Arabidopsis thaliana: one gene and its partners. The protein of the gene in region 1 purifies or fractionates together with the protein of each later gene. This does not show direct contact. Each region holds a gene or a part of one and is shown in the gene's direction. Other genes may lie near its edges.

Region 1 (9,510 bases):
ACCTCTCAGCCCCCAAGAAACTTTCCAGATCGGGTCACGTTGAGGAAATTTTCTAAGTGACCGTTCTTGTTTCTCTTCATCCTCCAAAACCCAAAATCATTTACCAGAGACGTCGTCAGAGCAAACCCATGCAAATTTTCCTTCGTAGTTGAGGAAAAATTTGCAAAGTAAATTATCAGCCGCTGATTTTCTTATTGTGTTGAACTTTTCGTACCTCACATCGAAGCTCATAAGGACTTTCTCAACTTCAGAACTATCATCGACTCCAAAAGGTATACTCGCTTCATAATACACTTCCCCGTTGATACATATACTTTGTATTAGTCCCTCGGCGGATAGAGGGACATGTTTAGGGGTATTTTGTGTCACTCTCCATGATTCTTGAGGTCCCAAAGTAAAAACAAGAGGATCTTGGTATCTAGAGCATGAGATGCACAAGACTTTATACTTACCCTCGACCGGATCATATCCTAAAGAGCTACATTCAAATGCGACTTTTGGTAAGGTAACATGTTGTCTCATGATTGGATTCCAAACTACAATATGCCCCAAGAATCTCCCAAACATATCAAGCCATGGACCGACTGGGACCATTCGTGATAATCAAATATGAGAGTGTCTTTCAGATAACGCTCCACATGTGGATAACATGATCTGTCCGGATTTTCATGTTGGGGCATTGCGCAGAAAATACGCTTGTCACTTGTTTTCACGCAGACCAAAAGACACAACCTAGTTGAAGACTGACTCGCGAACGACCTGATGAAATCTGGATGAGTGGTGATTGATGACCATAGCTAAGAGACCCAGTGGAACCTCGCAGCAGATTTAGCAGGAAGTCTCAAGAGTATATCAGGAATTAGATCAAGAGGAATCATCTCGAGAAACTTACAAAAACTCTCATCTTCTTTAGATTGTATACTTACTTCCCTATCTTCCGCCTCTTCCTCTACTCTATCCATTGGCGTCGATCCACTAGTTTTTTTTTTTAACCCTAATTTTTCAACCCTAAGTTTTTCAAACCATTATAGTAGTTGTCATCTCTGGACAAAAGGAACAAGTCAATGCATCGATCACCGAAAAGGAAGCATCGTACAAAGAGAAGAAAACTGAAGATTAAGAACATCTCTTTCTCTTTAACTTGCATACATCATGTTCAAGAACTACATCTTAGCAAATCCAACGACCGAAGACGAATTGATCATGGACACTCTAGCTAGTGACCATTGTTTTAAAAACCATACTCAAAATGTATTAAAAAAACAAATAAAAGAATTTTACATTTGGTTGTATTTGACAAAACATATCAACACTTTAGATTCTTGCGGTAAGTCAGAATTCTTACCAGAAGAATCTAAAACTTTGGTTCACTGATTCATGAGAACTTTGATCCGAACAATATTTACCTAGAAAACTGATCTCACCCTCATCAATACTGATCTTGATGAAAGTGAATCTTACAAAAACAAAAAAATAATGATAGATTTGCACTTAATTACTGATAAGTAGACTAAAAGAAGAACGATGAAATTATAGCAAATCAGCAACATGACCATCACGGAACTAGTTAATACTAAAAAGCATCAAAGTTGGATTTCTAAGTGATCTAACAAACGCTTTTTTAAAGATTAAATTCGAGATGAAAATATGGATGAAAAAGAATTAAATTGCTAACATAAATTGACCAAAATCGTAAGCATTGATCATCACCCATATCTTCATCTCAAATGAATCCATATAATCAACACTCTAACGTAACCAGAAAACTTGTTATACTTATTTTTGGGTAAAAGATTATAAAATTTAGATTTCCAAGCAATCTACGAGCAAATTTTTAACGGATTAAATTTGAGATGGCCATATGGGTAACCAATATATAAATTGGTAACTTAAATTGACCAAAATCTTAAATATTAGTTACCCAAACAGCCATCTGAAATGAATCCATGCATATGATCAACTCTCTAATGTAACAAGACAAGTTTATCCACTCTAACGATAGATAGCTCCACAACGTCATCAACATAATTAACGAAAGATAGACGTCGATATCTATCTACTGTGAAACCAAACATGAGTATTATGAATCAAAAAGATCCATTAATGTTAATTCATACTCATGTTTGACTTCACAACAGAGAGATTTCGACATCTACCTTTATCCATCGGCGACTCACTTTTGTTTTTCTAAACCCTAATTTTCTGTCTGGGTCTCTCTGTCTTTGACGTATTTATAGTACAAAAAAAATTGTTGCCCAAGAAAAAAAAAAAAAAGAAAAACAAACCTTCTGAATCCGACAGAGGCTTTAATCTGTTACCGTTAAAGTGTTGTATGATTCCGTTAGAATCTGCAACTCCGTTAATATTTTTTCCGTTTTCTTTCAGGGAAGAGAAAAAAAAAACACAGACCTCTCTTTTCTCTCTTCATGTTTTCATCGATAGTGGAAGAGATCAAGTGAAAGAAAAACACTCAGATCTGGAAATTCAGCTTCTTAGATCTATGAATTTTCAAATTCGTTGATCCATTTTTCCGCTTCAATCGTCTCCGATCTGATTTCATCAGCTTCGTACCGCTCCGGTCATGAATCCATTCTCTTCCGGCACGCGTCTCAGGTTAGGAATCACTTTACTCCGATCTCCAACTAGTAATCTGCTTTTTCTCTATTGCGACTTTGCGATACTTCCATTTTCGTGCGTTTTCTAGTGTCTAAATCCATAATGTAGCTTGATTCTTCTAGTAATCGGCAAATTCAATCGGAAATTGACGATTATCAGAAAAATGTTTTGGCTGATTGTGTGAGATTAGGCATGTTGTATGATAGAATCCTCTTAGCATTTTTGATGAAGCTTCGATTCTTTATAAATTGAGAGTATGTAAATGTAAATGAATTCATCATTTTAATGACAATTTGTGTTGCAGCGACATGATTCGAGCTATACGTGCGAGTAAAACCGCTGCTGAGGAACGTGCTGTTGTGAGGAAAGAATGTGCTGCGATCCGTGCTTCGATTAATGAAAATGACCAGGACTATAGACATCGGGATCTAGCGAAGCTTATGTTCATTCATATGCTTGGTTACCCTACTCATTTTGGGCAAATGGAATGCTTGAAGTTAATTGCTTCTCCTGGATTTCCTGAGAAGAGGATTGGTTATCTTGGATTAATGTTGCTTCTTGATGAAAGGCAAGAAGTATTAATGCTTGTCACCAACTCGCTGAAGCAGTATCCTTTATGGTGTTAATTTTTGATTTTGATTCCCTAGTAGTGTTTTAACTTTTTGCTGGCATCTTCGCACAAATTTTTAAGTTCATCTTGTGAGAACCTTGACTTACGTCTAGAGATCTGAATCACACGAACCAGTACATTGTGGGGCTTGCTCTCTGTGCTTTAGGAAATATTTGTTCAGCAGAAATGGCTCGTGATCTCGCCCCTGAAGTTGAACGATTACTTCAGTTTCGTGATCCAAATATACGCAAGAAAGTGAGTGTTTTCTTGTACTGTCATTGTACCCGTTCAGATAACAGGTGTCTTTGTTGTGAGGGTCAGTGGTGGAAATGTTGGAAAACCTTAGATGCTAGGTTAACGTGCATGTATTAACCACGTGAAGGCTTTAATTTACGAGCTATGTATCATTTTCACGAATTTACACTTTACTTCTGTCATTTTTTTGTATGCATAGACTAATACATTATAGTGAACTAGTTTTTTTTTTCTTTATTTAGGCAGCTCTTTGCGCGATAAGGATCATCAGAAAAGTTCCGGATCTTTCTGAGAACTTTATTAATCCTGGTGCTGCTTTACTCAAAGAAAAGCATCATGGTGTTCTCATTACGGGAGTTCACCTTTGCACAGAAATCTGTAAAGTCAGTTCCGAAGCCCTTGAATATTTCCGGAAGGTAATCTGCTGATATCCTATCTATGTGGTTAAACGAATATTAGGATGCCTTATATGTTCTAGTTTGCGTTCTTCTTCTTTCTTGGAGAATCGGAAAGTACTCTACATTTGTTCATTAGGCTTCTCTTTGTAACTCATAGCCTCTTACTGTCTCATGGTTTCATGATTCTTGTCTGGAATCTGTATGATCCCTGCATTCTCCATTTTGTCTCTTTAGATTCATTATCTTCCTGGATAATATTTGCCTGTATTCTAAACTGATTTGAGTGTTTTCAATCTTTGATGTTCTTGCCATGATGGAAAATGAGCGGTTTCCTTATCTAATTGACAGAAATGCACAGAGGGCTTGGTTAAAACCCTGAGAGATATTGCAAACAGTCCATATTCACCTGAGTATGACGTCGCTGGAATTACGGATCCATTCCTTCACATCAGATTGCTCAAACTGTTGCGTGTTTTGGGCCAAGGGGATGCAGATGCCAGTGACTGTATGAATGATATACTTGCTCAGGTTTGTTCGTACGTAGTCTGTCGAGCTTTTTTTTCAAGCCTTTTTCTCTTTTCAAACAATGGTAAAAAATGAAGCCTTTTTCTCATCTTTATAGGTTTTGTTTCAAAGATCATTTGTGAAATTTGCTTTGAAAACGCTTTTGATCTACATCAGTCAGGATCGTAATTGCAGATAATCATTTTTGATTCCTAAGTTGATTTTTAATGTATTAGGTGGCATCAAAAACCGAGTCAAACAAAAATGCAGGGAATGCTATCCTATACGAATGCGTTCAAACGATAATGAGCATCGAAGAAAATGGTGGCCTACGAGTCCTTGCAATCAATATCTTAGGAAAATTCTTGTCCAACCGAGATAATAACATCAGGTTTTTATCGAGTACCACCATATTTGAGTTTTTTTTTGTAACTAATCTCTGAGATCTTATTATTCATCTACAATAATCTTCCAAATTTAGTTTGCTATAATGCTGACAGAAGTTGTTACACTCATATATGTCTAGTTTGCAGTGATTCTGTTTTTTTTTCTATTATTCCACTTGAAGGAGCAGCTGTTTATAAAGATAAAATAAACCAAAACTGACGTGTTTGGACAGTATTGTGTATGGATGGAACTATTGTATGAGATTTTGTGAAAAATTGATAGAACACTTCATCTGATCTCTTTCTTGTCTCTCCACTGACCACCTTCCAGAAAATAATAAACCTTAGCTTTGCTTTCTCAGATACGTAGCATTAAACATGCTGATGAGATCCTTAACTGTTGATTCCCAAGCGGTTCAAAGACACAGAGCTACAATCCTGGAGTGTGTTAAGGTATTTTATGTGGTGTTACTTCTTTGTTGGGATATCCTATTGATTTACTAGGCGATTTAGATTCCACTGGATTTACTGGTTATGGAATGCAATTTATGTATCAGAGCTGTAACATGCTTCCGACTTTGTGTCTTAGTATAGTAAACCATCTAATTCTGTGTAGGTCGACTGAGATCATTCTTTATTAAATGGAAAGTGTTTAATATCTTGTGCTTTAGGATTCAGATGCTTCAATTCAGAAAAGGGCACTTGAGCTTATTTACCTTCTAGTGAATGAGAATAACGTGAAGCCACTAGCAAAGGAGCTTATAGAATATTTGGAAGTAAGCGAACAAGATTTTAAAGGAGATCTTACTGCAAAGATATGCTCCATAGTTGAAAAGTAAGTTGCGCAACTCTTCAGCCAGCATGTACAGAGATTTCATTCTTCTAGTATATGGTAACTGAACATTTTAATTTGTATCAAAGTTGTGCGTTAAGCTCAATTAATAGTAATCCCTTAAGTTTATCAGAATGCTGGCCTGGATAAATGGTGTCCATCAGACCTAATTGGTTACTGAATTAGTATTTCCTTTCTGCTAGGTTTGCTCCAGAGAAAATCTGGTACATTGATCAAATGCTAAAGGTTCTATCTGAGGTATATTTTGAACCCAGGTTGTGAGATTACGTTTTTCCGTACACTTAACTAACAACAAACTTTTTACTTCATATGAATTTATGTAGGTTCTAATCTGAGAGTTCTAATCTTGATTATGTCCATAACAGGCTGGAACTTATGTGAAAGAGGATGTATGGCACGCGCTGATTGTTGTAATAACAAATGCCCCTGATCTCCATGGGTACACTGTCAGGGCTTTGTATAGAGCATTACATACATCTTTTGAACAGGTAGACATTTCTTTGGTTAGACATTTCCTAAATTTGAATATCTTGTAACTTAGGAGTAAGAGGGTCATTATCATGTTTGGGCAGGAAACTCTTGTGCGCGTTGCAATATGGTGCATAGGAGAATATGCTGATCTGTTGGTTAACAATGCTGGAATGCTTGACTTAGAAGATCCAATAACGGTAAGTACTATCATCCTGCACTCAGGGTTTATTGTTGTGACTGGTACTGGAGGTGCAATTTGGGGATCTCTTTCTTAATTTGCTTTTTTTGGTCTTGTAAAATATTTCTGCTTCACTGATTTATGTGGGGATCCTCACACCCTAGAAATGTTAACTCGTCATCTTGTGGATTTTCTGCGCTGGCTAGTTTTCTGTTTGATAAAAAATGAAGAAAATGGTATCAGTTGTTATTTTCTGTGTCTTAAGGGGATGTATTTTCCTTACTATTTGATTGCTCATTCAAATAGATTCATTAATGAACATTCTGCCTGCAACATTTTGAATGATCCTCTTTACATGCCAAAGGTATATTTTTCAATGAGATATTAGGAGGATAGATATTTATTTGTGTTCTCAAGCTTCTGTAATCAGGTAACAGAATCAGATGCAGTGGATGTTGTCGAGAATGCTATTAAGCATCATTTATCAGATGTCACAACTAAGGCAATGGCACTCATTGCTCTGTTAAAGATCTCATCTCGTTTCCCATCCTGTTCAGAGTATGCCAACTCCTACCTAGCTAGTTGATTCTAGATTTTCTGGTTATAATCACGCATGAACTCATTTCACGTCCCTGATTTTTTCTTATTAATTATGCCGCGATGAAAATTAGTCAATGATACTTCTCACCAGTGTTGGGCTTGTTGTATTGCTTACAGGAGAGTTAAAAGTATTATAGGACAGAACAAAGGTAGCTTTGTCTTAGAACTTCAACAAAGATCCCTGGAGTTCAGTTCAGTTATTCAAAAGCATCAGAATATAAGGTAATTCTTTCGATGCTACTGGACATATCTGTTTTCATCAATTTGAATGAGAGAGTCCTATAGATATTGATCTACTAAATTACTCAACACGATTGATATAAATATGCAGATCTTCTCTGGTTGAAAGAATGCCGGTCCTTGATGAGGCAACATTTAGTGGAAGGAGAGCTGGTTCTTTACCAGCATCTGTGTCAACTTCTGGAAAATCTCCGCTTGGTATTCCAAACGGTGTTGCTAAAGCAGCAGCTCCTCTTGTTGATTTACTCGATCTGGGCTCTGATGATACTCCTGCGCCTACCTCCTCCAGTAACAACTTTCTTCAAGATCTTCTTGGTGTTGATTTATCGCAGCCTTCAGCACAACCTGGTTAGACTTCCAAGCTTACACTATTCCACTTCATTAGCTCAAAGAAAAAACTAACTTATTGAAGTTTTTCTTGTATTGCAACTGATAATATTAATTGTTAACCATCTGTATAGCACTATCTTCCTGGAATAGAAGTTAGATTATAATTCATATACGTTTTCTTCAGCCAGATAATTTTCTCTGGTCATGTCCTCAACTTATTGGCTTCAGCTGCAGTATGGCCTGTCCTAACTATAACCCGAAGAAAACTGTAAAAATTTTAGTGAAGATAAGTGTAGTGTTAAGTTTTGTAGAGAGTTTGGGATGTTCAGTTGTGAAGTTTCATCATATATTCTAAATCGTCGACCCCTTTGTTTACCCCTGCATTTTTCAATTTCAGGTGCCATGCAGCCATCGCAAGCTGGTGCGGATATTCTTATGGATCTGTTGTCAATCGGAACTCCTGCCCCTGTGCAAAATGGCTCGGCGAATGGAGACTTATTATCTATTCAAGATAACAATGCTCCAATAGCGCCTTCTTTGACTTCTCCCACTGCGCCTTCTTCGATGATGGATTTATTGGATGGATTTGGTCCCACCCCACCAAAGAGCGGTAAAGATGCGCTATATTAAACATTGAAAAGTTACATAGCACAGTTTCTCCCCTCTTTCTTCTTGTTTTCAAATGTGATGATATCATCTCTTTTCTTCCATGACAGAGGACAAGAGTGCAGCATATCCGTCCATTGTTGCATTTGAAAGCAGCTCCTTGAAGATTGAGTTCAACTTCACAAAGCAATCAGAAAATCCTCAAACGACAGACATTGTGGCCAATTTCATAAATCTTACTCCTAACGTGTACACAGAATTTCTTTTCCAGGCTGCAGTTCCAAAGGTCAGGTCCCAAATTTGCTTTTTCTGCTTACGTTATAGGCCTTATGATTCATAGCTAATAAGAACACAATCTTTCCTAAAGAACAATTCTGCCATGTGCTTGGTTCTTAACGTTCCACATTTTTATGGTCGTGATAGTGATAGATTCATGTTTTTTGCAAAGTTCTTATTAGTGGAAATACTTGGAACTGTTTTGGAGTAAATTGGGTTCGGTTTAGGTTTCCATGATATGTTTTGTTGACGATGTTCTAATATATTCATGTTATCACACACATTGCAGTTTCTACAACTTCACCTGGATCCCGCTAGCAGCAATTCTCTTCCAGCTAACGGAAACATCAAACAAACTATGAGAGTTACAAATAGCCAAAAGGGGAAGGTACATTTTCTTCTTTTTCTTTCTTCTCTTCACCAGATTTATATAACAACAAGCACAAAACCTCAATCTTTTGTGAAACCGATACCACAAAGCGCTCAGAATAATCGCTGTTCTTCTCTGTTTTCAGAAACCCATTGTGATGCGGATGAGGGTAGGTTACAAGATTAATGGCAAAGATGTGTTGGAGGAAGGACAAATCAACAATTTCCCACGTGGGTTATGAGAACGTTTCAGGTATTCCAAGATTCATATACATATTCCTAATTTATATAATCACTTCCCATAGACTAAAACAAACTTCTTCATAGAACCTTTGTATGTGTGATTCGTTGGCTTTGTGTGAAATCTGGGTTTAAAGTGAGATAACTTTTTGATGGTCTGAGTTACTTATGAGAATGTGTGACGTCAAATGTATTCTTCTTGCTGCTTCAAGTTCTTCTCTATCATTTATATCATTAATAAAACGTTTTTGTTTTTTCCATAGTAACATTTTGAGAAAACAATTTATTATTAGTTTAGAAAATAACTTATTTTGTCTTTTGTAATAACGAAGATTTTCATCAACTCCGAATTCAGTATAATAATTAGAAATTAGACGGACAATTTTTTTTAATTTTAAACAAAAATTGTGTATGACAAATTAGGCCTATCGATATTGTTTATGCACTATTCAAACCGTTCAAATTGTGTTTACATGCAGTCCAAAATGCTGAATTTTCATTTCTTGCCTAACCATGCTGCCTAAAGTTAGTAATCGTCATAGTGAGATGCAATACTTAGCCGCCTAGTATTTTCTTGA
Region 2 (7,656 bases), 220 kb from region 1:
GAAATACAGTATTATGTACCCTAAATGGAACAACTTATTTTGATATACGTTCTTAAGTTATTTTTTGATACATAATTTAGTGGTGATGCCAATAGTTTTTGTTTTAGTCATACAAACTGAAAGGTGCTATAGTTTTTAAAGGGTGGTGCAAAAGATATCGATCGTAGTCAACTAAAAAGTGCCCTAACTAATGATTACGATAATCCGTTTTATATTGGTCGAAGTTAGGTGATTAAAATATGGTTTCTCTACAAGTATTTTGTTTGGACACTGCAAATAAAACCTTCATGCACATAAATTCTGGAACCATCTTCATTTTTTTCATAATTAATCTCTATCATATATAGTAGTATAGACCCCGAAGTAACTTAAATACCAATTATGTATTATAAATACGGATTGATAACATTTCATATCGAAACATTTCATACATTTTATATCTGTAATGTTACAACCAGTCTAAAGCCAAGGATTCTAGAAACTAGAAACAAATTTTACTAAAATTAATTGAGGGAAAACTCAAGAATGTGTGTGTGATCATTGAAGAAATGAAGAATGTGTGTTAGAGTGAGTGAATATTCAAAAGACTCAAATAGGTTTTTAATGAACAATAGGGAACCCGAGGAAACGCGTGACTCTAAGATATATGAATTTATTTTGCACTTATTACTTTTGATTAATTTTTATATTCTAACCCTTTTTTATATACTATTTTTTTCAGTGCAAGTAATGAATGAAGTAACGAGATGAGAGTCTAGTTTCAAAGTTTTGAATCTTTTTGGTCAATGTCGTCTCTATTTGTTGACCATATTATACGTTTGACTTTAACCCCATTTTTCTTTAATCTCATTCTTCTTCTTTGCTTCAATGGTTGACGAATTCTTACCGTAGAAGTTGCATCTAAATATACCAAAGATTAATACTGCGAAAATATGATAAAGAAGATTTTTTTTTTTTGTACTCTCTAGAAATTTGTAAACGATATTATTAGTGTTTGATTAAAGACTCCAATTTTTAACATAATGTCTATATCCACATAATGAATTTGTGTCTCTACTATATGTAGTGTTCCCGTCATATATGCATTTTTGCGATAGTCAATCGGATCTTTGTATTGCGGTTAATTGATCTGGTCTTTCTTGAGCGTACAAAATAAATAGAATTGTACGTATTATTAGAGATGGTTACATTTGGTTTACATTATTAGTTAAAGTTAACCAATAATGTAAACCAATAAAGTTAACCAATAATGTAAACCAAATGTAACTATCTCTAATACGTATGTTGACTATGATGTACTTCAAGACAAGTTCATCATCACTTAACGTAACTAACACTATATTAGTTAAGTTCAAGACTTATTGCCCATGATTCATTTGTAAACTATGAAGTAACATATCTCTGATTTTTTCCTCTTATGTTTGATAAATTAGTCATTATAATTAGTGTCTTGCCAAAAAGTACACTTCTATCTTATTAGCATTCTACATTACAAACTATTAATTTCACTACGTATAGCGGTATAGGGAGAAGATCAATAAGGCGATCACAATATTAGTTAAGTTCCGAGTCTTGCATTACCATTGTCCTATGAATCACAGAACAAGAGGACGCATATATATATAGTATTTATAAAAGACTAAGATAGTCACAGAACAAGAGGACGCATATATAATTGACAAATACTCAAAACATGTGAAAAGATAAGGGCTATTACGTCTTCATTAAGATCCCATAATCTTTATGATGAGAACTTAAGAGCCAAACTAGCTATGTAACAAAATATCAAGTTTGAAAGTAATAAACTGCTTGAATAAGCTTCAAGTTCACTACATGGTTTAGAAAGGTTTAAAATCTATTACTTTCAAACGCTTTTATTGTGTACCAATCAATCCAACAAAGTATGCAATCGTACTAATCAATCCAACAAAGTATACACTCACACCGGTAACATCAAAAATTCAAAAATTCAAAATTTCATGTTACCAATCAATCCAACAAAATATACAATCCCTGAGACCGAGTTATAATTTGTTGGAATGATTGGTACCAGTGAAATTGTGTTGTCGTGTGAACATCAACACATAGGAGGTAATATACGTAAATATGCTAGCAATCAAGCTAAGTATACAAAACACTTCATGTTGCAGTGTTCTATTGAAATTTTATATATCGAACTAGAATACTATCATGGAGAATGATCAAATGTTGCATATCTTCATATCCACGAAAAATGAGTACACAAACATTCGATCATACCCCATGACAGTTTTCTAGTTTATACTTGATAGTCCTCACGATTTCATGGTGGTGACACTACACAAACCCTAGATTCCCCTAAAGTTTTTGTGAAAAACGCATATGTTCGATTTTAGGTTTTACTTCTATCCTTGATTCATTACAAACCTATTTTTATACTAATTCGTCGTTAACCTAATAATTTTAACCTACGAAACCCAACCTATATGGGCCTGACTTTATGTAATGATCCAATGGGCCTTTCTTCTTCAATGATGACTTTCTTCATTGACTCTCCTTCTACTTTCGATGGTATTAAATTTGACGGAAAAAGTAAAACGATACCGTCTGGGTGAAAGGCAGAGCTCTTTGCTTCTGAATATTATTATTTTCTTAAATTCTTCCGTTTTTTTTTTTAATCCAACCACAAGGATCGATAACGAAATCATCAGATCGCCAGAAAAAAAAAAAAAATTGCGAAATGGAGAATCTGAGCTGCAGATCTGCGTCAATCTCCATCTAGATGTTGTTGCTACTTCTTCCTCTATAGAACCATAATTTCATCAGATCTCGCTGATTAATCATCCCCATTTGGATCTGATCGAAACTCTTAGGGAAGAACATGGCAGGAGCTGCCTCCGCGCTGTTTCTGCTTGATATCAAGGGACGCGTTCTCGTCTGGCGTGATTATCGTGGCGATGTCTCCGCTGCTCAAGCCGAGCGATTCTTCACTAAGCTCATCGAGAAAGAGGTTGTTCTGATCTTCCTCTTATCGCTAATTGGTCTTTGTTTATTGCTTGGTTACTGTAGAATTTTCAGAGAAACATAGAGTTAGCGAACGAACTTGTAGATTTGTGTTTGAAAGATTCGTCAATTGGAATTGAAACATTTCGAAGATAATGGATTCGTGTCCATTTTCATCTGCACTGGAAATGAATTTTGAAGATAATGGATTCGTATCAGTCTTTGTGATCTGATGCCGCTGAAATTTTTTGGAAGTAATGAACAAGTTTGATCATTGGTTAAATGTTTTGGATTAGAATTTGATTTGAATCTGTACTTTTGAAGCATTCTGGTTTAAATCAGAGTAATCATCGTTTTGTTTAATTGTTCAGGGTGATTCACAGTCAAATGATCCAGTTGCTTACGATAATGGGGTGACTTATATGTTTGTACAACATAGTAATGTATACTTGATGATAGCATCCAGGCAGAATTGTAATGCTGCCAGTCTTCTCTTCTTTCTTCACCGCGTTGTCGATGTAAGTATGGCTGGTCAATTCTTTAGTTTTTCTCTTAAGGTTCCATCTTTTTCCTGGATATTTGATGTAATGGCAATGGTATCTGTTATCTGGTTATAGGTTTTCAAGCATTACTTCGAGGAGTTAGAAGAGGAATCATTGAGGGATAACTTTGTGGTAGTGGTATGTTAAGCTTCTGTCATCGCTCTTTTAGTACTATTTCGCAATATATTTTTCTATTACTTGGGCAATCAAAAAGATCCTTAAAATTTTGGAAAAGTATTTGTCATTGTTAGATGCTGAAATTGATTTTTTGGTGCTGGCAGTATGAGCTACTTGACGAGATGATGGACTTTGGTTACCCTCAGTATACCGAAGCAAGAATTCTCAGTGAATTCATCAAGACTGATGCATATAGAATGGAAGTTACACAGAGACCTCCAATGGCTGTGACGAATGCTGTCTCCTGGAGGAGTGAGGGAATACAGTACAAGAAGAATGAAGTGAGTGCCATTGTTTTCGCAAGATAGGAATATGTTTCTGATGTTTCGGTTTGCAAATAATGACAACCTGCTTCTTTTTCCAGGTTTTCTTGGATGTTATTGAGAATGTAAATATTCTTGTCAACAGTAATGGGCAAATTGTCAGGTCTGATGTTGTTGGAGCGCTGAAGATGCGAACTTACTTGACGTATGTCAACACATCAAATTTACGATATAGTTCCTAATCAGCCAAAGCATGTTAAATCACGTCCCTTTTTGACTATTTTGCTCTTTGATCCATTCTATTGCAGTGGAATGCCAGAGTGTAAGTTAGGACTGAATGATAGAGTATTGCTGGAAGCGCAGGGACGAGCAACTAAGGGAAAAGCCATTGATTTGGAGGACATCAAATTTCATCAGTACGTCTTTAAGTTTTTATTATATTGAAACTTGGAAAGTCTTCACTGATCTTAACCCTTCTATTTTCTTTTTGTTCAAAAAGATTATATACTTGAGTTTTATGTATTCTCTTCTTCAACAACCATTTATTTAATGCAGGTGTGTTCGATTGGCCCGTTTTGAAAACGATAGGACGATATCTTTCATACCACCTGATGGGGCTTTTGATCTGATGACATATAGACTCAGCACTCAGGTTTGACATGTGGGATATAGCATCTACTGGAATTGTTCCACGTCTTCAACAAGTAAATATCATGATTTGTTTCTTTTATGTTCAGGTAAAGCCACTTATATGGGTGGAAGCACAAATAGAAAGTCATTCAAGAAGTCGTGTTGAGATGCTCATAAAAGCTAGAAGTCAGTTCAAGGAACGAAGGTAAATATATTCTATGGTATTTGTGCCACTTTCCTTTTCTGTCTTACTGTCATGCAAAGATCCTGATTGATCAGATTCTTTAAACCTTTGATCACGAACATTCTTTTTGTAGCACCGCAACGAACGTTGAGATTGAGTTGCCTGTACCAACCGATGCATCTAACCCCACCGTTAGGACATCTCTAGGGTCTGCCTCTTATGCTCCTGAAAAAGATGCGTTAGTCTGGAAAATCAAATCTTTCCCGGGGAACAAGGTATAACACTAACAAGGTTCAATAAACTCTTAAATTCAGTTGAAACAGTCAGCAATGTAGACTATGTAGTATCAATGCTAACCTTCAGAAAACCAATATAGGAGTACATGTTAAGGGCAGAGTTCCATCTTCCAAGTATCACTGCAGAGGAAGCAACTCCTGAGCGAAAGGCTCCTATCCGTGTCAAATTTGAGATCCCTTATTTCACTGTTTCAGGGATTCAGGTAAGCTTGTGCTTAATAATAAATGGTTACTGTCTCTTCCACAATGTCATATATATAATATATATGTTCTTTGGTGTGTAGGTTCGGTACCTAAAGATTATTGAGAAGAGTGGGTACCAAGCACTTCCATGGGTGAGATACATAACCATGGCTGGTGAGTACGAACTAAGACTCGTGTAATGCACATTTAGTTTCATCGTCTATGTCAATTGTGATTCCCACATCCCTCAAGGAATTGCCTGAATCAAAGAAGCAAAACGAAACAGGACAAAAGTAGAGGGAAAAGAAAACGTTTTGAAACATTTTAGCTGATCAAATTTTCCTTTAATTTGTTTTAGAAGCCATATTCTTGTGAATTTGTCTTTATGGTGATTCTATTTTATTTTACATGAGGCTCTCTGTAACCTTTCACGACATGGTTCATTATTTTCCTTTAGACTGCTACATTTCTGTCTATGTGTTCGTTCTGCGATCAAAATTGTTAAACGTTGAGGTTTTGGTTTTGTTTTTTGGGGCATTCGTCTATGTTTACATAGGTTTCTCTCGAGTTATGATCAAAATGAAACTACATAAACAAATTATGCTTCAATAGAGTGAGGTGAGAGAGCCTTACAATAGAGAGAACGTATATTTTGGTGTTTCTCATATTGTTTAACTGATATAGTATGGGCCGAAATGAAATAATCGTCAGGCCCATTAAAAAGCCCATAATCACCATACTTTCTCCTCCAATTCTGTTTCGAGCTTGGGAAGTGACAGTGAATTAGGGTTTTACTCAAAAAACCTTCTCGTTGTCGTTGTTTACTGCTCCGACGAGAAAATGGCGATGCGACATTTGAGCCGATCGAGAGACGTTACAAAGAGATCGACAAAGAAGTACATCGAAGAACCTCTGTACAATCGCCTCTTCAAAGATGGTGGTACAGAGGTCAAAGTTCGACAGCAGCTTAATCAGTTCCTCAAAGGCACTAAACACGTCTTCAAATGGGAGGTCGGCGATACGATCAAGAAACTCCGAAATCGCGGCCTCTATTACCCAGCTCTCAAGGTTTCATAAATCCAAATTGCATTTTCGATTCTCTAGGATTAGCTTCACAATAAGCATTTGCTTCAAATCTGTTGAATACATATAGAAATGTAGATTCTTAAGTGGTATTTTGATGCTCATTATGAACAATTTAGTAATTGTTGAATAATTTTTTCACTGTGTGATGATTGTGTCTTTAGATTTCATATTGTGGAGTTGTTTTTTTGGTTTGTAGCTATCTGAAGTTATGGAAGAGAGAGGTATGAACAAGACAGTGAGTGATCAAGCAATCCATCTTGATCTTGTTGCTAAAGCTCGTGAAATTACTGCTGGGGAGAATTATTTTGTTGATCTTCCGGAAACATCTAAGACGGAACTCACGTATGGGTCTCTTTTGAACTGTTACTGCAAGGAGTTGTTGACAGAGAAAGCGGAAGGTTTGCTGAATAAGATGAAAGAGCTCAACATTACTCCTAGTTCCATGTCTTATAACAGCCTCATGACTCTTTACACCAAGACAGGTGAGACTGAGAAAGTTCCGGCGATGATTCAAGAATTGAAGGCGGAGAATGTGATGCCGGATTCGTACACTTATAATGTCTGGATGAGGGCTTTGGCTGCTACTAATGATATTTCTGGTGTTGAGAGAGTCATTGAAGAGATGAATAGAGATGGTAGAGTTGCTCCGGATTGGACTACGTATAGCAATATGGCATCGATATATGTTGATGCTGGACTGTCTCAGAAAGCTGAGAAGGCTCTTCAGGAACTGGAGATGAAAAACACGCAACGGGATTTTACGGCATATCAGTTTCTTATTACTTTGTATGGACGTCTGGGGAAGCTGACTGAAGTTTACAGAATTTGGCGTTCGTTGAGGCTGGCTATTCCGAAAACCTCAAATGTAGCTTATCTAAACATGATACAAGTGCTGGTCAAGTTGAATGATTTACCTGGTGCAGAGACATTGTTCAAGGAATGGCAAGCTAACTGTTCTACTTATGACATCAGGATTGTGAATGTGTTGATTGGAGCTTATGCTCAAGAGGGTCTAATCCAGAAAGCAAATGAGCTCAAGGAGAAAGCTCCCAGAAGAGGTGGAAAGCTCAATGCTAAAACATGGGAGATCTTCATGGATTACTATGTAAAGAGCGGTGATATGGCTCGAGCACTCGAATGCATGTCAAAGGCAGTCTCCATCGGCAAAGGAGATGGTGGCAAGTGGCTACCGTCACCTGAAACAGTCAGAGCTTTGATGAGCTATTTCGAGCAAAAGAAAGATGTTAATGGAGCTGAGAATTTGTTGGAGATTTTAAAGAATGGAACAGACAACATAGGCGCAGAAATATTTG
Region 3 (7,037 bases), about 19 Mb from region 1:
CTAAACAAGCTCGTTGTTGGAAAGAAAAAGAATTTCCCAACGCTAAGGAGCTTTGTTTCGCCAATTGTCCCCCTCTTGAATAATTTTTATGGATTCTGTCATTTCGAAGCAGATTTTTTTAAAAAACGTTGATAAATCTAAATATGTATGTTGCATATTCGATTTAAGGTTTTTTATGACATTTATTTCGATTTTAGTGGATTCCTTTACATTAATGTTACGATATTCTTATTTTCTATAATTTAAATTCACTGAATATCAACCAATTACATTTCTAAATAAAAATATATATTTTATAGGTGTTAGATAATCCAATTACAGTTGCCACCAAAAAATATGGAATTTAAAACTAAATTACAAGTATATGATATTTAATTTGGATGGGGTTTGTTAGGAAAAGATAAAATAATTTGCATAGTTTTAGTTTTTGAGTCAACCAAATGGATCAATAGATTAATTGAGAAAAAGAAAAGAAAAAAGAAATCAATCATAATGTTTTCGAATTTTTTGGAAAGCTTATACGATGGAATCGGAGACGATGACGCCGCCGACGACGACGAAGACAACAACAACGACGAGAAAACCCCGAAAGCCTCAACGGAAAGACACGATTTCTCGAGAAACGCCGTTCGTTTGTCACCGGAAGAGGAGGCTCAAGCGCGTGGGGTTAAAGATGATTTGACGGAACTTGGTCATACCCTCACGCGTCAATTTCGTGGTGTGGCTAACTTTCTCGCTCCGTTACCTGATGGATCTTCTTCTTCTTCCTCCGATCTATCGAACCATCCCAGGTTTAACCAATCTCGGTCTTCAGATCCTGGATTGAATCAATCGCGTTCTTCAGATCGGGACGAATCGTGTGTTGGAAGTGATACGCCGGAGACTGGAATTAGGTTTAGGAGCTGGGATTTAGAAGAAAAATTGGCAGAAGGCAATGATCCGGAGGATGAGGAAGAAGAAGAAGAGGAAACAGATGAAGAAGAAGAAGAAGAAGAAGAGATCGCTGCGGTTGCTCTTACAGACGAAGTGCTAGCATTTGCGAGGAACATAGCAATGCATCCAGAAACTTGGTTGGATTTTCCTCTTGATCCTGACGAAGATCTTGATGGTAACGTATACATTGAGTCAAGTCTTTCGCTATTAGTCTTCATTGATTTGACTTATAGGCATATCAAAAGTTTGATTATTTCAACTTTTATCTAATGTAGATTTGGAAATGAGTGATGCTCAAAGAGGTCATGCTTTAGCTATTGAGCGTCTTGCTCCGAGGTTAGCTGCATTGAGAATAGAGCTTTGTCCATGTCATATGAGTGTTGGTTACTTCTGGAAAGTCTATTTTGTTCTTCTTCTTTCAAGGCTCAATAAACACGATGCTCATCTTTTGTCTTCTCCACAGGTTAAAAAAACCTGAATCTCAATCTCTTCTTGAGTCAAAATGATTCTTTGTTGTTGCTGTTGTTTATTCAACAAAATCCTTTTGCTTTTGCAGGTGATGGAAGCTAGAGCATTGTGGATGAAAGAGCTTCAGAATCAGACACATTCTTCAAAAGAAAGTAGAGATATGATTCTTGAGGAAGAAGATATTACACCATCAACTTCTAATTACTACAACCATGCTCCTCCTGAGTTTCTTTCTCCAAGAATATATGCTTTTGAACCTCCTTCGATTATGTATCGCGATTTTGAACACGGGTTTGAAAACGCTCAGTTCATCGATAAAGCTGTTATTGAGGAAAAACCAATCCAGAAGAACGACAAAAATAGTGCAAGCCTTAGCCAAACATCTAAAGATGTTGTTGATGATGATGATGATGATTGGCCAGAAGAAGAAGATTCTGCTAATTCTTGGGCTCCAATGTTTACAGTGAATGAGGATGATGTTTCTTTCAGTGATCTTGAAGGAGACGACGATATAAGTAGCTTAGCACTCAAGTCTAAGATTACATCAAAGGGCACAGACCAAAAAGGAACATGAAACATCATCTGGCTTGTTGCTTTGCCCTGCCTCACGAGATCGAATCAATAGAATTGAACATAAGTACTGTGTGCTGAGTCAAATCGTGGAAGTCTTTTGGGTGAGTTTGATTGTTTTGTGGATTTATGATGTTTGCTCTCAAAGAGAAGGAAGAAAGAAAGAAAAAGGTTTTGATTGAAACATGTACAGAAGATTTACTTTGACACTGCAATTTCATTGTAATGTTCTCTCTCGCCAAATGTAATGAAATATTGAAAAGCACTATTTCATTCGCGTGGAACTTAAAAGAAATTGATAGAGAATGGCGCAAGTGAATTCAAGTGTAACAAACTGTTAGAATCATTATTGGATTGGAAAATCATATGGGATTTTATTGCTTATGTTGAGGATTTGTATGTATGAAAATGGGAACAACCAGGAGGAGCTATCATCAATTAACAAAATAACTCCTATGACTTAACTAAAAAACAAATCTATGTTGAAATGTATAACATTTGTCAAAATGCTAGTACTTTGTTAATAATTAAGGGGTGTTATTGGTTTGTGATTTATATAGAGTTTTAGTGATTTAAAAATATTATATAGAATCTGATGTTATTCAATTCAAATTTTCATTTTTTTTTTTTAATTTGGTATTATTAGTTTAAGATTTATAAAAATTAATCTAAAATCTTCGTAAGTAAGATTGCTTCCCTAATACAGAGAAAGAAAGAAAAACCAAGTAAGATTGGTAATACGATGTCGTTTCGCAGAATAATGCAAAGCTGAACCCAATTTAATAAGCTGCACTTTTCTTTCTTTCTCGAGTCTCCCGTCGTTTTTTATGTCAGAACCAATTCGTCAGGTCGTGAATAAGTGACTTTATCGACGAACCACCACTCAGCTGCAGCAAATGATCGTTTAGCTCCGGCGAAGCGTAAAATTCTTCAGATCTCTCTGGAATTAATAATCCGTCTGTTTGATCGATCTGATTCGGCAAATCCTTGAGAAAACAAGGAGGGAAGAAGAAGAAGAACATGGCAGGGGCGGCCTCAGCGCTGTTTCTGCTCGATATCAAAGGTCGTGTTCTCGTGTGGCGCGATTACCGTGGCGATGTCACCGCTGCTCAAGCTGAGCGTTTCTTCACCAAACTCATCGAGACAGAGGTGAAGTTTTAACATTTGGAACTAATGAACAAGCTTGATCAGTGCTTAAAAGGATTCAATTTGATCAGAATCGTTATACTTATGACTAAATGACTAGTGTTTTCTCTGCGGGTTTGCTTACTTTCGTCTAATATGTTCAGGGTGATTCACAGTCAAATGATCCGGTTGCTTATGATAATGGCGTGACCTACATGTTTGTACAGCATAGTAACATTTACCTCATGATAGCGTCCAGACAGAACTGTAATGCTGCCAGTCTTCTCTTCTTCTTGCATCGTGTAGTCGATGTAAGCATCCCTAGTGATTCAGTTTTTTGCATTTCCATCTGTTTTCTGAATTTGAAGAAAAAAGAACGGCACTGTTTCATATGTTACAGTCTTATACTGATCGTAGGTCTTCAAGCATTACTTCGAGGAGTTAGAGGAAGAATCTTTGAGAGATAACTTTGTGGTAGTGGTAAGATAATGCTTCTCACATCTCTTCTTATAACTGTTTTCCCTCTTGCATGAGGTGGATATGTGTGGGCGAAAGTTATTTCTAAAAACATTTACTTATGTTACTGGCAGTATGAGTTACTTGACGAGATGATGGACTTTGGTTACCCTCAGTTTACTGAGGCAAGAATCCTTAGTGAATTCATCAAGACTGATGCATATAGAATGGAAGTTACACAGAGACCTCCAATGGCTGTCACTAATTCTGTCTCATGGAGGAGTGAGGGGTTAAAGTTTAAGAAAAACGAAGTAGGTGCTCAACATTTTACTTTTCAATTGTTTTAGGTTTTCTAATGTTTGCAGACTGATGTTTTGTTTTCCAGGTTTTCTTGGATGTGATAGAGAGTGTAAATATCCTTGTGAACAGTAATGGGCAAATTGTCAGGTCTGATGTCGTTGGAGCTTTGAAGATGCGAACATACTTGAGGTGCGTTCTCTAGTGTCCCTAGTTAACCAACGCATTTAAAATCAAAAGTCCCTCCTCTTTGACTCTCTGCTTCTTTATCCATGTTATTACAGTGGAATGCCAGAGTGTAAGCTAGGCTTGAATGACAGAATATTGTTGGAGGCACAGGGACGAGCAATAAAAGGAAAAGCCATTGATTTGGAGGACATCAAATTTCATCAGTACGTTAATCTCTTGCAACTTTAAACATTCTTTGACAGTCACTCTATCGAGGCCAATTTTTTTACTAACTCGAAAAATTATTGAATACTTGAGTTTTTACACGTCTCTTTCTTCAAAATGTAGGTGTGTTCGATTAGCCCGTTTTGAGAACGACAGGACAATATCATTCATACCACCTGATGGATCTTTTGATCTTATGACGTATAGACTCAGTACTCAGGTTTTAGAATGTGTAATATTGCAGAAATGGTTTTGTCCCCTTCTTAAACGAATTATATCATGATATATCTTATTTTCGCATAATACTTGTTCAGGTAAAGCCTCTTATATGGGTGGAAGCGCATATAGAGAGGCATTCCAGAAGTCGTGTTGAGATGCTAGTAAAAGCTAGAAGCCAATTCAAGGACAGAAGGTAAGTAACAAATGTTACTTAACACGTTTAACCATTACCTGAAATACTGAAATACTGGAATCCTTTAACGCGTTTTGATAAGAGTTCCTTTTTTCTGCAGCTATGCAACAAGTGTTGAGATTGAGTTACCTGTACCAACTGATGCGTATAACCCCGATGTAAGAACATCTCTCGGGTCGGCCGCATATGCTCCTGAGAAAGATGCACTGGTCTGGAAGATACAATATTTCTATGGGAACAAGGTAAGTTCTTATAGTTTAATGTAACACTTGACCATGTAAAGTCGAATGCTTACATTAAGTTTTGAAACAATGTAGGAGCATACATTGAAAGCAGATTTCCATCTTCCAAGTATAGCCGCAGAGGAAGCAACGCCTGAGCGAAAAGCTCCAATCCGTGTCAAATTTGAGATCCCAAAATTCATAGTTTCAGGAATACAGGTTGGTATTACTCACAATGATACGTTATTATCATATAGATCACATTCTTTTTATATTACTGCATTGAAATCTGAAGGCAAACAAACCTGATGTGTGTTAATTATGGGTATTGCAGGTTCGATACCTGAAGATCATTGAGAAGAGTGGGTACCAGGCACATCCATGGGTGAGATATATAACCATGGCTGGTGAGTACGAACTGAGACTCATGTAAAATGAGATCGTTTTTTTGTTTTTACTATTATTTAAGCCATTGTCAACGACACAAAGCAGAGGAAGATCAATGAGAAAAGGAAAAAGATTGAAATATATTAGCTGATAGAATTTGCGGTGAAGGTTGTTTTAGAAGCCATTTTCTTGTGAATTGTTTCATGGCGTTCTCTTTTTTTTTTTTTTTTTTCTGTAAAACTATATACGACAGTTATATATATATTGGGTTACAATTGTTAAACATCGAGTTTTATTTGGGGTTCTTTCAGTTCGTTTACCGATGGAAAATGCATGCAGTCTGGGTGACTACACCAATAATGGTTTTCCTTAAACGTCCGCTAATTTTGTAAGAGTTCACTATATAAATAACTTTGATGAGGCAGTAGAGCAACATGACGAACTAACAAATATTATAATTTTCAAAATGGAAGATATATATTTTACAGTACAACAAATCGAGAGGAGAACAAGAAGAACAATGAATAATCTGTATTAGTAGTAAATAGCCTAAACAAAAACTTAAGCCCTCAACGTAACAACCCTAAAACATTTTTTTTTTGCATGTGATCAATGTACAAAGTTGTTTATTCTGGGTGATGATGATGAACGAGGAGAAGAAGGAGATTGATTGGGGAGAGTCTGAGGAATCTTTCTAAAAACATGTTTCCTGCAACGTTGGAAGATGCTGTCGTATATCAGATCAAACTGAACACCAGCTCTCTCTCTGTTCACTATGAACATTATGTGATCTGCTTCCACTATCTTATAATACCTGCAACAACAAGGTATTCAGATTTTCTCAATCCATCAACGTCATTAGGTCATATATGATTCACTTACCAGATCCCGGGTTGTAATGTTTGACATTCCGAATCGCTCCTTATGAACCGGCTCGGATGCTCAACAGGTAGCCTCGGATGTGTCATTGATATTGTGTTCAATGCCCCGTCGTTCTCTTGCCAGTCCTCATCCCTTCATTCAAACATGTTTTCTTAGACCAATGCAGCAAGGGCTTCAAAAATCAATGTTAAATTTTTGAGTGTTTTTGAGTACCTGTAGCCTTTATAAGGAGGAGAGACATCTTGTGGGAATTTCCATTGGCTCATCTGAAAGACGCGGAGGAAGAGCATCGGGTGGATTCCAAGAACACCTGAAGGGATTGTCATACCCATGACTCTGCGGGTGCGTTTAGTCGCGTAGCTGAAGTAGTAAGTGTTTGGGAACGTCTGGAGATTGGAGTTAATACTTGTTGAGCCTTGGATTGTGAGATCAGGTAAGATCCAATCGCCAGAAGCAAAAGGACCTGCGTTTCCCATTAGGCAATCAACGAGACCTCTCACACCGGTCTTCTTCCAAGAAATGTTGAAGTGATCGAACCCGAAATTGTAATAAGTCTTTAGCCATGAAATGTCCAACCAATCGTACATTATCACGCCTATACGACACAGCTGCAACAAACATATCGGTTTCATGCTCACTCCATCATCTGTCCTGTAACAGCAACAATAAGAATCAACAATTAGGATAAAAGATCTTGGTTTTCTAATACAGGAACATACAATTGCTTCAAAGATCAAACCTTATTTCAAAATGAAGAAACAGGAACATTCCAATCAATTGTAAAGATCCATGTAAATACCGAAAAGAATTGAAAATGTCAGAATGAAAACTAACCGCATGCCATCTAAGTAGGTCCTGGTAGTTCCATTGAATGCCCCGGATAACGATGTCAC
Region 4 (5,758 bases), on another chromosome or scaffold:
TAGACTCATGGTAAGAGCAAATGCTAGTATTTTAAAACTTCCGATCTTAATTTTGTAAAAATACTAAAATGTAATAGTTTGAACTTAAAAATAAATAAAAAGAGGACAATCGTTATGTTATTTACCGACAAAAAACACTAACAGATAGTTTGGTCGGTTATAGTTCTTGAAATCAAACAGCGTAACTTGACTTTGGAATAACAATTTACATTCGCTTTGTTTTCTTTTTTTGCTTTAAGATTAGAAAACAAAACAAATCTACAATCATCATATCACCATCACAAAACCATCCCTTCACCGTCACAAAAGGCCTCTCCTTTAACTTCTCTATCTCCGTGATTTACTTCTCCAGAATCCTTCTTTTGTCTCCCGCAGAATCCATCAGTCCCTTCTTAGGTCGTCAACATCTTAATTTAGTTTTTTTGCTTCACTCGAGGAAAAGTCACTACACCAACCCAACATATTATTATATGGATACACAAATATATTTGTATTATTTATATTTATATGTACCTTATTATAGTTTAGAAGAGAGCTGTGTTTTGTGATGCTCTTGCTTTACTTCTTTCTCTCCTTTGTTTCATTCCATTTCACATGAAGATCTAGATCTGGGTCCAGACAAATTTCACCGACCCAGCTCTTTCACATATGTAGACCTCTCTCTCTCTAATTATTCAGTAAGGTTTTGTTCTCTCTTGTCGTCTTCTTGTTTTGTCCGTAGCATTATTAATAATCAAACTCAGTCTCTGAAATACTCTCAGTGACAAACCACTTCTGTCGACTTTTGTCTTTGTCTCTCACTAGCTATAACCAAAAAAATCCAAAAACCCAAACCACAGTTTCTTGTTTTTGTTATCAATGTCTAGTTATATGCACCCTCTTCTAGGGCAAGAACTGCATCTACAGAGACCTGAAGATTCCAGAACCCCACCTGATCAAAATAACATGGAACTTAACAGATCTGAAGCAGACGAAGCAAAGGCCGAGACCACTCCCACCGGTGGAGCCACCAGCTCAGCCACAGCCTCTGGCTCTTCCTCCGGACGTCGTCCACGTGGTCGTCCTGCAGGTTCCAAAAACAAACCCAAACCTCCGACGATTATAACTAGAGATAGTCCTAACGTCCTTAGATCACACGTTCTTGAAGTCACCTCCGGTTCGGACATATCCGAGGCAGTCTCCACCTACGCCACTCGTCGCGGCTGCGGCGTTTGCATTATAAGCGGCACGGGTGCGGTCACTAACGTCACGATACGGCAACCTGCGGCTCCGGCTGGTGGAGGTGTGATTACCCTGCATGGTCGGTTTGACATTTTGTCTTTGACCGGTACTGCGCTTCCACCGCCTGCACCACCGGGAGCAGGAGGTTTGACGGTGTATCTAGCCGGAGGTCAAGGACAAGTTGTAGGAGGGAATGTGGCTGGTTCGTTAATTGCTTCGGGACCGGTAGTGTTGATGGCTGCTTCTTTTGCAAACGCAGTTTATGATAGGTTACCGATTGAAGAGGAAGAAACCCCACCGCCGAGAACCACCGGGGTGCAGCAGCAGCAGCCGGAGGCGTCTCAGTCGTCGGAGGTTACGGGGAGTGGGGCCCAGGCGTGTGAGTCAAACCTCCAAGGTGGAAATGGTGGAGGAGGTGTTGCTTTCTACAATCTTGGAATGAATATGAACAATTTTCAATTCTCCGGGGGAGATATTTACGGTATGAGCGGCGGTAGCGGAGGAGGTGGTGGCGGTGCGACTAGACCCGCGTTTTAGAGTTTTAGCGTTTTGGTGACACCTTTTGTTGCGTTTGCGTGTTTGACCTCAAACTACTAGGCTACTAGCTATAGCGGTTGCGAAATGCGAATATTAGGTTTTATTTATTTATTTTTTGTTTCTCTTAAAACTTGGTGTGTGAAAAAAGAAAACGAACGCTTAAATTTCCTTTTTCTGTTTGTTTTTATGAATAGAATTGGTAAGTTTCATAAAAAAAAAATAGTATTAATTTGTGATTTAATATCTAAACTTACAGAAAAATGTCAAATCGACCATATTAATCGTGAAAAATGTTATTATTAGGGAAAAATGTTATTTAATACCTAAACTTACAAAAAATGGCCAAATTAACCGTGAACTCGTGAAATGGCCGTTTTATCTCTCAACAAAAAGTTGACTTCTATTTTAACTTTTAAGTTTGCGTTGACTCGGGCTAATAAACCACCGTTAAAAATTCTTCTAACAGCGTAATTAACAGCCGTTACAGAACATCCGTTAAGGTGATACGATGACGTTTTGTGCTAAAGAGAAATCAAAATCGAGAATAGAAATTCCCAAAACAAAATCAATTACCCTAAACCCAAATCGAAACCTAATCCTGCCCCCAAAATCAAAATCGAAACCCTAATTGCTTCAATTCGTTTTCTGAAATGCCATTAGTTAGAAAGAATGGCGTCGTTATGAGGATTGGATCTCCAATGCTTCACGAATCAGAGAATTTGGTGGGAGATGGAGTCGAAGCACCACCGCGAGGAGAAAGAGATGAAATTGGAGAAGAAGTTGGGGGTGAAACGAATGTGGTATCTGAGTCTTGTGGCGGAGAAGAGGGAGCACAAGATGCAGCTAAAACAACGCCGGAAGGAGAAGCAGATCGAATTTGAGAGAGAATGATTTTTAGGATTTGGGTTTTGATTTGGAGATTTTTCAGAGGTTTCGTCGACTTTGAAGTCTGTTGATAGCACAAAACGTCATCGTATCACCTTAACGGATGTTCTGTAACGGCTGTTAATTACGCTGTTAGAAGGATTTTTAACGGTGGTTTATTAAACCGAGTCAACGCAAACTTAAAGGTTAAAATAGAAGTCAACTTTTTGTTGAGAGATAAAACGGCCATTTCACGAATTCACGGTTAATTTGGCCATTTTTTGTAAGTTCAGGTATTAAATAACATTTCCCCCCTAATTATTAGGTGAGTAATACGGAGAAAATGGACTTTAATTATATTCGTAAATTGATGTTCACACATTAAGGCTCTAACTAAATCTTCCGATTATTGTCATATAAACATGTTCTAATTTGTGATAAAACTGAACTTCCACTGTCTCGCAGAGAAGGGAAAGAATATTTTGGGAGAACAACTAAAACCCTAATATCTATGATGATGTCAACTTCAAAACACATTGAAACTTGAGAAAAACAAAAATCAAAGAAAATAAAAATAAAGCCTGCATGCAAGAGAATATGCCTTCCCTCCAAGGTTAAATAAAAACAAGCTTATGTGAGAGATTAAGTATGTTCATAACTTCACAATTGTGTCCATTAGTCGCTGCTCACGTTAGTCAGGAGTTATTTCTGTTGGGTCTTATCAAAACTGTTGTTTATGTCTATTTTGATTATGGACTTACCTTTACATTTGCATTTTATATTTTCATTCTTAGTTATAAAAAAATTGCTTATACTTTTCTGTTGTTTGACCCAGCACCAAGTATAAGAACAATTAAAAAATTTGATACCTAAGAAACTAATTCTATAAGATTAATTGAAGAATTATTTTCATTCAAAATCTTTTGACATAATTGCTACGTTTAATGTGTAATGCCCTGGTCTATTCGATAAGATTAAGAAGATAATTGCAATAATGGAACAAAATTAGCTGAGAATGCAATCCGTTTGCATGGATCCGACCCGGAATGCAATCCGTTTTTAATTATGTAAATGACAATTATACCCCTGGCACTCGACATGTTTGACAGTTTGAGCAAAGAGAATTTTTTTCTTGTTGAGGATCATCGATTATCAGTTTCTGGATTTCGCTACTACAGATTTGTCCCGTCTTGAGTTACGAAATCATGGTAACAATGCTCGATCTTCGATTCTGTGTTTACGAATGCTGCCCTGGATTTGAATTTCGCATCTCCGATTCGTTCTTATGCTTCTTCTTCATTAGTTTGATACTTGGATCTGCTCTTGATCGGTGGTTTCAGATATTTCTCTTCAAATTATTCTTTGCAGATAGAAAATTTGGTGACTTTAGTTTGATAATGCTAGCTTCTGGGTTTGATTTTTCGTAGTTTCGATCCTCCTAGTTCAGTTCAATGGCTTCAAATTTGAAACCTTTGTTTGTTGGACTCTTTCTTAAGCTGGTGAGTTGATGATCCTAATAAGAAACCAATGGTGTGTTTTTGATTTGTGTGTTTTCAGATACATTTTGTGCTTCTAGTTAGCCGGCAAGGAAAGGTAAGGCTCACCAAATGGTATTCTCCTTATGCACAGAAGGAAAGATCTAAGGTATGTATTGAGCTTCATTCACACCTTGTTATGCTTTAGCATACATCTCTCATCTTACATGCTATGTATATAGGTTATACGTGAACTCAGTGGAGTGATTCTGAATCGAGGTCCAAAGCTCTGCAATTTTGTTGAATGGAGAGGATACAAAGTTGTTTACAAAAGATATGCAAGTCTCTACTTCTGCATGTGCATTGATCAGGAGGATAACGAGTTAGAGGTCCTTGAGATCATTCATCACTATGTTGAGATTCTCGATCGCTATTTTGGAAGTGTGAGTACCAAAAAAACCAGCACCTGCTGAGATTCCACCTTTACTATCTCTTACCTTAACGGAACCTCTAAATTATGATAAGGAATTGTTTTATCTGATGACCTTCAGGTGTGTGAACTCGATTTGATTTTTAACTTCCACAAGGTAATAGCATGCTGCAAACACTCAAGGACTCTGCCATTCGTCACTTGATTCTCTATCCTCTGCATCTTTATATCTTGCTGACAGTTTCTGGATTTCTTGTTGCTTTCTTAGGCATATTACATATTGGATGAGCTCTTGATTGCTGGGGAGCTTCAAGAGTCAAGCAAGAAAACAGTAGCCAGGATTATATCCGCTCAGGTACTGAGTTGTATGTTTAAGTCATCGACATGAAAATATTAGTGTAGTAGTTTTTTCTTGAGAAATGACAGTCTCTGTCTGTTATGTTGTCAAAGGATCAACTGGTGGAGGTTGCAAAAGAGGAGGCCAGTTCGATAAGTAATATAATCGCTCAGGCTACTAATCGATAAGTAGTCTTATTCATCATCTATGCATTCTTATGCAGTTAAAGTATGTTCCCTGTCTCTGGCTACAGTAATTGTTTTGAGAAATCTTTATCCATTTGATTTTTCTTGCGGAGGGATTTTCGTCTTAAAGCGTAACTTGGAGAGAAGAAATATGTTATGATTTGGTTCATAAACAAGTAAAGATTATATCGTTTGTAATCTTTGATTTCATGTTTTCCAATCCCATTCTTTCATTGTGAATCCACATGACTACTATTTCAGACCAATCTTATTTGCACATATTCTCTAGTCCAAGAGTTATGGAAGAACAGTAGATAAATAGCCTTGCTCGACTAATGAGGCAATGCAGTCATCGAACATCTCTTCAAGGGACTTGAACTTGAGCCCGAGACTCTGTATCTTCGAGGTGTCAAAGTCGTAATGCAACCTATTTAGTTTCTCAAACCTGAAATTTTCAAACAGAGTATCATCATGATCTATGATTTTAAAATTTTACAAGGTTTGAGAGATGGTTTAGTTTAAAGGGTCAGTGTCAAACCTCTTGGGGATAGGGAGTGATGGGTAACGAGCAGATAGGAATGAAACGAGTTCCTCTAGACTGATAACGTTAGAGCTACAAATGTATCTGCCTTGAGCTGCTTCGTGTTCGAAAACGACTATGTGGGTTCGTGCAACGTCATCGATATGAACATACCCCATTTGTCCATGC

The links.
Region 2: the proteins of AT1G60070 (region 1) and HAP13 fractionate together in Arabidopsis thaliana (co-fractionation; one large-scale study listed by BioGRID). This does not show direct contact.
Region 3: the proteins of AT1G60070 (region 1) and AT1G10730 fractionate together in Arabidopsis thaliana (co-fractionation; one large-scale study listed by BioGRID). This does not show direct contact.
Region 4: the proteins of AT1G60070 (region 1) and AT4G35410 fractionate together in Arabidopsis thaliana (co-fractionation; one large-scale study listed by BioGRID). This does not show direct contact.

Annotation. Positions count from the first base shown.
Region 1 is NC_003070.9:22,142,368-22,151,877, reverse strand, and holds AT1G60070 (Adaptor protein complex AP-1, gamma subunit), read left to right. Parts: upstream 1-2,350; 5' UTR 2,351-2,581; coding exon 2,582-2,613; intron 2,614-2,920; coding exon 2,921-3,223; intron 3,224-3,339; coding exon 3,340-3,481; intron 3,482-3,723; coding exon 3,724-3,897; intron 3,898-4,227; coding exon 4,228-4,407; intron 4,408-4,619; coding exon 4,620-4,774; intron 4,775-5,131; coding exon 5,132-5,222; intron 5,223-5,440; coding exon 5,441-5,604; intron 5,605-5,804; coding exon 5,805-5,859; intron 5,860-5,987; coding exon 5,988-6,110; intron 6,111-6,194; coding exon 6,195-6,290; intron 6,291-6,701; coding exon 6,702-6,829; intron 6,830-6,988; coding exon 6,989-7,093; intron 7,094-7,202; coding exon 7,203-7,459; intron 7,460-7,838; coding exon 7,839-8,051; intron 8,052-8,157; coding exon 8,158-8,333; intron 8,334-8,414; coding exon 8,415-8,522; intron 8,523-8,612; coding exon 8,613-8,711; intron 8,712-8,838; coding exon 8,839-8,934; 3' UTR 8,935-9,274; and 1 more. UniProt on the Arabidopsis thaliana protein: Subunit of clathrin-associated adaptor protein complex 1 that plays a role in protein sorting at the trans-Golgi network and early endosomes (TGN/EE).
Region 2 is NC_003070.9:22,367,090-22,374,745, reverse strand, and holds HAP13 (Clathrin adaptor complexes medium subunit family protein), read left to right. Parts: upstream 1-2,522; 5' UTR 2,523-2,860; coding exon 2,861-2,989; intron 2,990-3,353; coding exon 3,354-3,500; intron 3,501-3,599; coding exon 3,600-3,662; intron 3,663-3,805; coding exon 3,806-3,982; intron 3,983-4,065; coding exon 4,066-4,169; intron 4,170-4,272; coding exon 4,273-4,380; intron 4,381-4,519; coding exon 4,520-4,616; intron 4,617-4,701; coding exon 4,702-4,799; intron 4,800-4,911; coding exon 4,912-5,053; intron 5,054-5,154; coding exon 5,155-5,277; intron 5,278-5,358; coding exon 5,359-5,457; 3' UTR 5,458-5,793; downstream 5,794-7,656. Other genes in the region: AT1G60770 (Tetratricopeptide repeat (TPR)-like superfamily protein), read left to right, coding at 6,098-6,325, 6,540-7,656. UniProt on the Arabidopsis thaliana protein: Subunit of clathrin-associated adaptor protein complex 1 that plays a role in protein sorting at the trans-Golgi network and early endosomes (TGN/EE).
Region 3 is NC_003070.9:3,562,472-3,569,508, forward strand, and holds AT1G10730 (Clathrin adaptor complexes medium subunit family protein), read left to right. Parts: upstream 1-2,785; 5' UTR 2,786-2,991; coding exon 2,992-3,120; intron 3,121-3,260; coding exon 3,261-3,407; intron 3,408-3,513; coding exon 3,514-3,576; intron 3,577-3,686; coding exon 3,687-3,863; intron 3,864-3,937; coding exon 3,938-4,041; intron 4,042-4,133; coding exon 4,134-4,241; intron 4,242-4,365; coding exon 4,366-4,462; intron 4,463-4,556; coding exon 4,557-4,654; intron 4,655-4,754; coding exon 4,755-4,896; intron 4,897-4,971; coding exon 4,972-5,094; intron 5,095-5,209; coding exon 5,210-5,308; 3' UTR 5,309-5,635; downstream 5,636-7,037. Other genes in the region: AT1G10717 (EMBRYO SURROUNDING FACTOR-like protein), read left to right, coding at 1-83; AT1G10720 (BSD domain-containing protein), read left to right, coding at 493-1,108, 1,209-1,396, 1,490-1,975; AT1G10740 (alpha/beta-Hydrolases superfamily protein), read right to left, coding at 5,872-6,076, 6,145-6,276, 6,358-6,795, 6,979-7,037. UniProt on the Arabidopsis thaliana protein: Subunit of clathrin-associated adaptor protein complex 1 that plays a role in protein sorting at the trans-Golgi network and early endosomes (TGN/EE).
Region 4 is NC_003075.7:16,828,745-16,834,502, forward strand, and holds AT4G35410 (Clathrin adaptor complex small chain family protein), read left to right. Parts: upstream 1-3,594; 5' UTR 3,595-3,827; coding exon 3,828-3,830; intron 3,831-4,179; coding exon 4,180-4,266; intron 4,267-4,339; coding exon 4,340-4,540; coding exon of another isoform or gene 4,541-4,570; intron 4,571-4,648; coding exon 4,649-4,684; intron 4,685-4,795; coding exon 4,796-4,882; intron 4,883-4,977; coding exon 4,978-5,052; 3' UTR 5,053-5,258; downstream 5,259-5,758. Other genes in the region: AGF1 (AT-hook protein of GA feedback 1), read left to right, coding at 859-1,758; DRL1 (dihydroflavonol 4-reductase-like1), read right to left, coding at 5,347-5,494, 5,588-5,758. UniProt on the Arabidopsis thaliana protein: Subunit of clathrin-associated adaptor protein complex 1 that plays a role in protein sorting at the trans-Golgi network and early endosomes (TGN/EE).